Linked DNA regions of Drosophila melanogaster. The protein of the gene in region 2 interacts with the protein of the main gene of each other region in a pairwise test. Each region holds a gene or a part of one and is shown on either strand. Other genes may lie near its edges. The genes, in order: mav and GckIII.

The links.
Region 1: the proteins of GckIII (region 2) and mav interact in a two-hybrid assay, tested with the Drosophila melanogaster proteins (one large-scale study listed by BioGRID).

The regions. Positions count from the first base shown.
Region 1 is NC_004353.4:622,450-628,039, reverse strand, and holds mav (maverick), read left to right. Parts: upstream 1-2,008; 5' UTR 2,009-2,455; coding exon 2,456-3,268; intron 3,269-3,376; coding exon 3,377-4,669; 3' UTR 4,670-4,821; downstream 4,822-5,590.
Region 2 is NT_033777.3:17,083,857-17,088,753, reverse strand, and holds GckIII (germinal centre kinase III), read right to left. Parts: upstream 3,242-4,897; 5' UTR 2,957-3,241; coding exon 1,028-2,956; 3' UTR 766-1,027; downstream 1-765. Other genes in the region: cal1 (chromosome alignment defect 1), read right to left, coding at 1-214, 272-352; kuk (kugelkern), read right to left, coding at 4,345-4,897.

The DNA.
Region 1 (5,590 bases), on a different chromosome or scaffold from region 2:
GAAATTGTAGTTTAGTTTTAAACACAGCTCAAAAGTGATCAGTCGTATTCTGATGCACTTAATAAAGAATAATAATTATTATTTGTCTTAACTTAATAAGTGCTTAATTTATATACTTTATATGTATGGTCGGAAAAGCTTCCTTTTGCTTTACGAGCAAAGGTCATAGCGATGTGGAAAATTAGATTAAGATTGACGAAGTGGTCATCATTTTGCTCTACAAAATATCGCACTTACGTTAATCACATTGAGACAAGTTTTTTACAATCACTTTGTAAACCTCCCAATTCAAAACGCATCCGTTTGCATCCCGGAAAGGCTTCAGGGTGTTTTCCGAAATTAATATTTCTAGGATATTTACATATATTTATTACAAAGCTTTCGTGAACTTCACTCAGTAATGTTTCTTAAATACGTTTAGAAATCGACCACACGGATGCTTTTGAATGTCTTATATCTAAACAGCAGGAAAAGTTCCCAAAGAATATAAAAAATAAATACATTAAGTAATTCAGTTTTTATTTTATTGAATATTTTTTATATACATATTTATGAATAATGTACATATATATGTAATGTACCTGAAAAACATTTCTCAGACACCAGAAAACCAAAGACCCTAGAATAAGAATTCTAGTGTCTTTGAGAAAACTCTGACGATTCAAAATGTAAAATGCAAGTTAAGAGAAACAAAAATACAGAGAGGAAAAAGTGCTAGGCGCTTCTTTGTTCTTTTACTATGTCTTTTGTCATTTATTATTCCTAAGTACCGTTTGATCAGCAATTTGCCTGCCTTGCTTACTATGGAGTTCAAAAATATAGGGTCAGGAAACATAAGCACAGACTAGAATCTTATCCGAATAGTCTAGCTAGACGACTAAGTATCGCAGCCCAAAGCCATCGGAGAATAACGAGAAGAAGATTGAAACGCCACCACCCTCAAGACCTGACTAACCGAGACTTCACATAAAACTTACTTAATTATAATCTTCTAAATATTATAGCCTCACATTCCACTTCTTGAATACTCATAATCATATAATCTTTGTAAATAACTTAGATATTCAGATTCGTTTAAATTGATACCGATTAGATTAAGTTGTCTAAGAAGTACGCTGGTCAATTAAATAATTTCGTTTAACAAATTTAATAAAAAAAGGAAACATAAATGTACACACTTTTCGAGAAAATATTTTATGTATAAGAAATCCCTATTCAATAATTTAAGGTATTTTAGAAAATATATCAATATTCAATATTTAAATACGAGTAAAAAAATCAAAATATAATTTAAAAAAGATAATAGTATTCTGCTACAACTATGCTTAGGGAAAACATAGTTTTTGGTTGTACCTGAACATGCGCGATTGGAAATATGAGCCATATGCCACCTTAGGGTTTTTAAACCAGTTACTCGAAAACCATATAACAGACAGAAGGAAACGTTTTCGAGCAAATCAGGATCAATAGCCTAGTCGAACTGTCTGTGTCCGTCTGTCCGTATGAAGGCCTCGATCTCAGGAACTATAAAAAATAGAATGTTGCGATTAAGAATGCAACTTCTAGAGACAGAAGCAGAGCAAGTTTGCCACGCCCTAAAACCGCCCAAAACTGCCACGCCCACACTTGTGCATTTTTTTTATACTTTTAGTTTTGTAAATTTCTATTGATTTGTCACTTGTCTTGCCAATCTCTATAGGTACACCAAAAACACTTTGCCATGCCCCACACTTTCGAACAATTCGAAACAATTTTTTCTCCGAATCCGATCTGGTTATGGGAAAGGGAGCAAAGCCTATCCTGGGAATGCACGGCGGGCGGAGTATAATCAAGCAAGATGTAAGGGATGTTGCATGTGAATACGCCTGTACACAGGTACACACAACGCAACACCCAGAAAATCTTGTGTTTGTAAGACGTGCATGAGTCCACTGCAGATGTGTGGGTGTGTGTGGGGGTATGAGACTAATGTTCATATTGCTGCTGTTAAGTAAGCATTTGCTGTGGGTATTTTAGTCGAATTTGAAGCAATGTCCGAACAGGTTCCGTATCGATGTGTACAAGAATGTTAATGAGAGTGCGACCGAGACGAAAATATATACACATTTTCGAGGAACTGTGATCATTTATTTACTTTACCGAAAGAAATTTTTTGTTTCTTTAAATTAAGTGCCGTAAACGAAATCCCGAAAATAAGATCAATGCAATCAACAAACTCGTGCAGATTTAACCTAATAAGTAATGGTGTGGATGTGAACATTTTTACAGAGATTCTGAGCCTACATACATATGTAGATACTTGCCAACGTTCATTAGTATGTATATACATATGTAGGCATGCGAATGTGTAATTTTGAAGAAGAGTACATACTGGAAGATTGATCGACTGGAAGAACGATAATCATTTTTATAATTGACATTAGCAAAGGAACCCTAATGGCCATGCGGAGAAAACATGATAATAGACATTAATCCAAACTTAACGCCAAAAAAGGAAACAGCTGTGTGGTGCGACTCTTTTCAACATAAATGTAAAGTTAGTAACCGTACAATAAAAATATTTCCATCGCTTTTGAACAAGTCCAACTGGATCGTTAGTATTTTGTGGCATATTTGTGTTCACCATACCATAACTATAAGAAACTCTAAAGCACGAGAACCTCCTTGCAAACATCCGCCTATTACTGATAATGCTGAGGCTAAGCTCACCCTAGTTTGTAGTAGGTCACTAAAGCTTTACAAAATATGGTTTATATTGATTTTATTGATGTCAACTCAGCATCAAGTCAGTGGCCATGGCATATTCCGCCAAACGTCAAGTTCAAAAGCAGTATTTTCATACTATCAGCCTAAAGAAAATATTACATTTACCAATTTGCAGCTTCAAAATTTAGAAAATGAAGCTAAGAGACTAGAAACAAATCAACATCCAATAATCCGAGCCAAATCAACTCCGAAAATGGGTCTTAAAAATGTATTTGAAAGCTTTAGCAAACAAAGCAGAGACTCAATCTACAATGCCAGTTCAAATAAATATAGTCTGATTAATGTAAGCCAGTCAAAAAACTTTCCTCAATTATTCAATAAAAAATTGTCAGTTCAGTGGATAAACACCGTACCAATTCAAAGTAGGCAAACGAGGGAAACTAGGGATATCGGCCTAGAAACTAAGAGGCATAGTAAGCCATCAAAAAGAGTAGATGAAACCAGACTAAAGCACCTCGTTTTGAAGGGCCTTGGAATTAAAAAACTACCAGATATGAGAAAGGTAAGATTTAAATTACAGCTATTGTCACGTCCTGTAAAAGAAAGCTGTGCAGTGTTATGCCAAACCGTATACAGAAGGGTCCACCTAAAGGATATTATTTATTTACAGGTCAATATAAGCCAAGCTGAATATTCCAGCAAATATATAGAATACTTAAGTCGCCTAAGAAGTAACCAGGAGAAGGGCAACAGCTATTTTAACAACTTCATGGGAGCTTCCTTTACAAGAGACCTACATTTTCTAAGCATTACCACAAACGGATTCAATGATATAAGCAACAAACGATTGCGCCATAGAAGGTCGCTTAAAAAAATTAACAGATTAAACCAAAACCCAAAAAAGCATCAAAATTATGGAGACCTACTACGTGGCGAACAGGATACAATGAATATTCTTTTACACTTTCCATTGACAAATGCACAAGATGCAAATTTTCACCATGATAAAATCGACGAGGCCAATGTTAGGCTTATGCTTCTCTATAGTTCATCGTTGGCAACAAATTTCCGACGAGGGCCAGGATCTAGGAAAAATAAGATCAGTCAAATTTCCGGGAATGATAACATCGAAAGGCACTGTAATTTTGGTGATGTCAATTTGAACCAATCTAACAAAAATAGTAGCCAGCAATTAACTTTAAAAGTATATCAACTTCTTTCAGCGAATAGACGAAGAAAGATAACGTCTCGTAAAATTGAATTTGGAAATGTTGGCTTCCAAGAAACTCGAACACAGTGGATAGAATTTGACGTGACCAAAGCTGTTCGTAGTTGGTTGAACAAAAGCCATGAAAACTTGGGGATAGAAATTCAATGTGATAAATGTAAAAGTATAGGGGCTCGTATATTGAGTGATTTCAGCCCGTCAACACCACCACGCTCGACCGCCTCAAGCGACGAACACTTAAACCTCATGCCAGTTCTTAATATAATTGGACACGGAACGCTGAATTCCCAACAGCACGGCGACGCGGATATTCACCAAATCATGCTGACCAATAATAGAAGCGATCAATACGTGCATCACCGTTCAAACCATGATAGCACCTGGAGAAAAGATAAGTGGACCAACAACTGTTACAAATTGCACCAACGATGTTGTAGAAATCAATTGGATGTTGCCTTTAAGAGCATTAAGGGATTCGAATTCATTTTACAGCCGAAGGTATTCGATGCAGGGTACTGCCACGGAAGATGTCCACCACGTCACAATCCCGCCCACCACCACGCCCTACTGCAAAGTCTGATATGGCAAGAAGATCACAAAAGAGCCCCCCGTCCATGCTGTACTCCTTCAAAGCTTGAGATGCTTGAAATATTGCATGTTGACGAAAACCACAGCGACAAACTCAAAATTTCGACATGGAGTGATATGCAGGTTGTAGAATGTGCCTGTTCGTAAAAAAAACTTTCTCTAACGAATTATTCTTACATACATATTCTATTATTCGTTTTTAAGTTTTGTTTCTCATTTGGTTCAAATTTTGTGAATTTTTAAACATGTAACAATGCTGAATAAATAGAAATATTTTTTGTTCGTATAGCGGCATTTACAAATTGTGTGTTTTATTACCGCTATTGCACTAATGACTTTTGGCGAATTCCTTGAGGGAAGATAAAGACGTTTAGATGTAGAAGGCAGTCAGTCCTATGCAAAAACCAGTGATGCGCAGGAATCACTAAAAGCTGCATGATTGCAGTCCTGATAATATGAGAAAGAGGTCTCGAAAAGCGTGGTTAGAATGATTTGGTTTTTGCTAATCGTAAAAACAAAATGACTACTTTAACAAATCGAAAAGAAATCTCAGTACATCAGGCGCACATTGATTTTCCTGTCGAAGTTTGGGGAGCGCATAGGAAAAGTACTAGTTTTTTTCACGTGAATATAAAAAAATGTGGCTAGGTACATTGCATCAAACGGCTTTTTATAGTGTTCAACAAAAATCCAATAGTTTGTATTTTTTGAAAATATAAGGAAATTGATTATATACAATCCAAAGACGAAAGAAAAAATTGTCTGCACTGATGCACTTGTTTGTTTGATTATTAATTATTAAGAATATGTATATAAATGTTCTAACATAGATATGAACGTTATTTATTTAAATTGATTGAATTAACAATTTGATGTAAAATTAAAATACAAAAACAAAATAAAAAAAACTACATCTAAATATATTTTTGAAAATAAACTTACATTATTTTTAACATTCTTATCCTTATATAGACGAAGTTATAAATTAAGACGCAAGACAAAGGTATGTATGTTCGTATGTAACAGGCAAATGGAAACGTTTCCGACCACATAAATTATATATATTCC
Region 2 (4,897 bases):
CCTCGTTATCCTCATTGGCGCAAAGTATAAGTGTCAGTTCTGTAACGCTGGTGGCGTTGATATGGCCCATTTCAAGCTTTGCCTCGTCGGGCACATTGTCCTCCACAGCCTCCTTTGCCACGTCATCCAGGTCGGGGTCCTCGTCCTCGCCGTGGAACAAGTTGTCGAACTCGGCCACATCTATTTCCATGCCGTCTTCCAGGCTGGCAAAATCCTATAAAACAATATCGTCCATCAAGAAGAGACGCCACTTGGGTTTCTACGGACTCACCGCCATTTTACTGGACCAGGCCTTAGAGCGCTCGTAGACCATTGCCTCCAGTGTTTCCTCGTCCACCACCGCATTCGCCATGGTTATGTAGTTATCAGTTCACGGAATACTTGATTAAAATTTATAAAAACTAAAAGAAATCTTAAAACACAAAAATAAAGAGTCAACAAAAATGGCGTTGCCACTGGTGTTACCGTCTCCAAGGCGCCAAAAAATACACCAAAACGCGACTTAACTAAACACGTCCCATTTTTATTTATATAAAACAAATAGAAAACTTGGGTTCCTCATTTCCAATAAGGTCGTTTTGATGTTCTATTTGCACGGCTTTTTGATTATAATTATTATTTATTTAACGATATCCTGTTTATTCAATTTATTTATTTTTTTATTTACTGCATTTTTCGCTAGCGTCCAGCGTTGCCAGATCAAATGAATACTCGGAGTCACCAATGATGCCAAGTTCGCATTAGCGCGCCAAAATCGAATTGTTTATTTTTGTGGGGTTTTTATTTTGAAGTTATATATGTTTTACATTAGATTAATATTGCAGATAAACAAACGAATACATATTATATGCTTAAATAACTGTTCAATTGAAATACATGTACATCGCTCCCGGTCCTCTGTTGGCCACTAAATGTCGGAATATGTCTGCTCCAGCGTTTCAGTTTGTGTTGTCTCGGTGTCGTTAATAAAGTTGTGTATATATTAAAATAGGCTGCTTGGAATCGGAATTTGCTACGGCTTCGCCAGCTACTTGCGGTTGCGTATGGCGCGGTCCATGATCGTATTGATTCGCGTCTCCGAGTAACCAGGAACGAGCATGTGGATCAGCTCTTTCATAAATAGGTCGCTCACTCCCGGACTGGAACGTTCGGCCAGCTCGAACACAGACTTCAGGTCGCCGATGTCGCTGCCGACGCCTATGTTACGGCCGCCTGATCCTCCGCTTCCTGCAGATCCTCCGCCGGAGTACTTTCGCTGGATGTCGCTCAGCACGGGGAAGAGGAAGTTGTTCAGACAGGCGCTGTTCGTTTGGACTAGGCGTTGTCCCGCCCCAGAGTGCTTGACATGGCTGGCATGGTTGGTGGCCACATGCTCCTCGTGGCTGTGGTTGTTGCTACTGCTGCTGCAGCTGGCAACCAGCGCGGCGTTATTTGCATGGAATGATTCACGTTGGCTGCTGCGGCGCTGTTGCTGCTGCTCAGCCGTCGATGGAGTCGGAACCGACGACTGCAATGGCAGGCCCAAAGAGGCACGGCGATCCTCTACTTGATCCAGAGGGGCGGCGGATCGCGACTGGCGCAGCTCCGGCTTCGAGCTGGAACGCTTCTGCTGCAGCTCACTGGCCGACGACGAGCTTGTGACGCTGCTCGGCGGAGGAGCTGCGTTCAGCATGGTGGTGGTGGCATGCTTGTTGCTCAAGTTTCTGATGTTATTGTTGTTAATGTTGTTGTGGTTGTGGTTGTGGACGTGACTGTTCTGGGGGGGCAGGGCGGATGCAGAGGAGACACCTTCGTTGGCTGTAATGACCGATACGGAGGAAGCTGACGCCGCCACGGCGGACACAGAGGACGATAATGCATTTGCAGCAGGGGACGCTTGCACGCCACCACCGCCGGCTGGCGAGTGTGTGGTCTGCATCAGCTTCTGCATGGTTAGCTCGTGCTCCTGCAACTGGAAGCTGTTGACACCCGCCCGCGGAGCACTGTTGATATGCAGGCCCTTGACGGTCATGATCCAGGGCTCATCCTGGCTGCTGCCGCCCTGCTTGGCGTCCGAGTCCGAGTCAGAGTTCTCAGACTCCGTCTCACTTTCGTCGCCCTTGGAGACCTTCCACTTCTTGAAGCGGTCGATCAGGTCAATCAGATAGGCGTTCTTCTTGGCCTTCTTGATGAACGGGTACTTGAGCAGCTCCTTGGCCGTGGGCCTGTTCTCCGGGTCCTTGTTTAGGCAGGCCTCCACAAAGTCCTTAAAAGACTTGGTATAGCTGCCCGTCAGCTGGGGTGGATTGTTCTTGGGGATGAGGAAGAGCACGCGCATCGGATGCAGCTCCGAATTGGGCGGCTCACCCTTGGCCAGTTCGATAGCCGTGATGCCCAACGACCAGATGTCCGCCTTGGCATCGTACTGTGACTGCTTGATCACCTCGGGCGCCATCCAAAAGGGCGTGCCCACGAAGGTGTTCCTCTTGGATGTGGTGTTGGTCAGCTGGCCAGCGACTCCAAAGTCCGCCAGCTTGACATCGCCCTGTTCGCTCAACAGAACATTGGCCGCCTTGATGTCGCGATGCAGCTTGCGCTCCGAGTGCAGGTAGTCCAGGCCCTTAAGCACTTCGCGCAATATGATCCCGATGTGCATTTCCTCGAAGGAGCCGGCCTTCATGAGGTCCAAGGCGGATCCACCGCCCAGGTACTCCATGATGATCCATAACTTGGTGCCCTTAAGAAAGCTGCCATAGTACTTCGTCACGTACGGCGAGTCGCACTGCGACAGCACCATGATCTCCTGCTGGATGTCGTCGATCTCATCTTCGGCCTCCTCCAGATCGATGATCTTGATGGCCACCACTTGCTGGGTGCGGTTGTCGATGCCCTTGAACACCTCGCCGAAGGAGCCCTTGCCGATGCGCTCCTGCTTGGTGAAGATGAGCTCTGGATCGACTTTCTCCGTCCAGGACATGTTTCCTATCTGGTTTCTACTTCCCACTTCGTGGCTTCTGGCTCTCCTCCTCCACCTCCTTCTGGATTCACGGGTTTCCTTGTTACTCCGCTGGCTCTCGACTGGCTTGTGTTGGACCCAACTGGACTGAACTGTTCTGCGGGCTATTTGGTGGCTGAACTACTCTGCGGGGGCACTTGACTAATAATTTTTTCGTTGGTATCTCATCTAATCCGAGAAATCTCTCTTTTTTTTGCTGTATCGCAGCAGTATCGAATACCGATTGAATATCGATATTCTCCTGTCGATATCGATATCTTTCCAGCTGTTGATTAGAGCCGCCAGCCGAAAAATAAATATTAAAATTAATTTTTTATTTTAATTGTAATAATATTTATTTCACGATTCGTATGTATTTTCTTAACTCTGGCAGAGCAATTCTTATTCTTTCACTAATATAATAGTTATTAATTTCCCTAAGATTATTTAACTCGTTAGCAGTTCCGAAAAGCTTAAATAAGATTAACTTATTCATTTATTTTCCTATTCGACTTGTGTCAAAGCTTACAATATATAAATATTAGATGTTAACTATTTTATTTCTTTACCCACTTCTGTAATTACAAAACCCATTTGGCAGCGTTGCCACATAATATTGAATATTGGAAAGCGTTGCATCGATACCCGCTAAAAACTTAATGTTGCAGAATGAATTTACATCGAGTCCCTCATTTTTAGTTTATTGTAAATGGATGTAGTTATCGAGTATAAATAAAAACAACTGGTTTCCAAACGATGCAACTAAAATGATTTTTTCGCCATCACTAAGGATTCAATTTCACATCATTCAAAATAATTTTCTTTAAGCTTAATATCGCAATTGATGGGTTATTTTAATACATAAAACACATAAGTTACTTATATCTGAAAAAGAAAATCGCAGTGCCTTCAATACCCATGCATACACCAAAAATTCAGATATTTCGTTTTAATGTACTTTATTTATGAAATGTGTTACATTTTTCTTTTTTTCTTTTGATATAGCGAAACAATACATGAACTCGGCGAAAAGACTTTCACAAATATGTGTTTTATATAAAAATTTCTTAAACAGATTACTACAAGTATGGGTTTTCTACGGTTGGTACCCACTTTTGCCTGGGTACAGATCGTCAGATTCGTCGGTGGTTGTCTGCGACCCGGGAGTTCGCGAGGAGACAACCAGCAAGGAATCTGTGACAGAACGGTGATTTTCCTGACGAAAAACGACCCGACGAGTCCTAGCTATAAAACTTTCTCTTAACATGTTACTTTACGTCAGAACATAAATTACCAAAGAGGGTGAAACAGATATGCTAAGACAATCTTATCAACTAAGGGAAGGGTATTATGTGGTCTGGCCTGTTGTATTACATAATTGAGCAGATGGATCGGCCCTCGGCAGCGACCGCGGCAACATCAGCCACCTCTACAACAGGGTCAATGTTTTCTCCATCGCTGGACTCCTTGTCGCCATCCTGGCCATTGACGTTCTTATCCTCGACATCCTTCTTGGCGGGGATTTCCTCCGCTCCGGCCTCCTGACCAACGGTCACGTCTTCGGCCGGTTGTTCCTCCTCCACATCAACCTCTTCTGGTACGCCAGTCGTAGATGTGTTCAGATGTTGCTCCTCCACGCCGGAACTGTTCGGCTCCAGACGCAGACGGGTCGGAGTACCGATTGTTGCCTTGGAGAATCTCGAGCGCAGCAAGCTAAAGGGAGAAGCCAAATTCAGGCTGAACAAGTCGAAGCGGGCGCGCTTTGGCGGCGACATATCCACGTCGTGGCCCAGGTCACTGGTCGACTGAGAGGCCGTCAGTGGTGGGGGAGTGCGTTCACGCTTGCGGCCACGGCCAAAGAATGAAAATGAAAATGACGAGCTGTTGGGGATCTCTGATCCGACTGTGGCATTCATGCTTGCG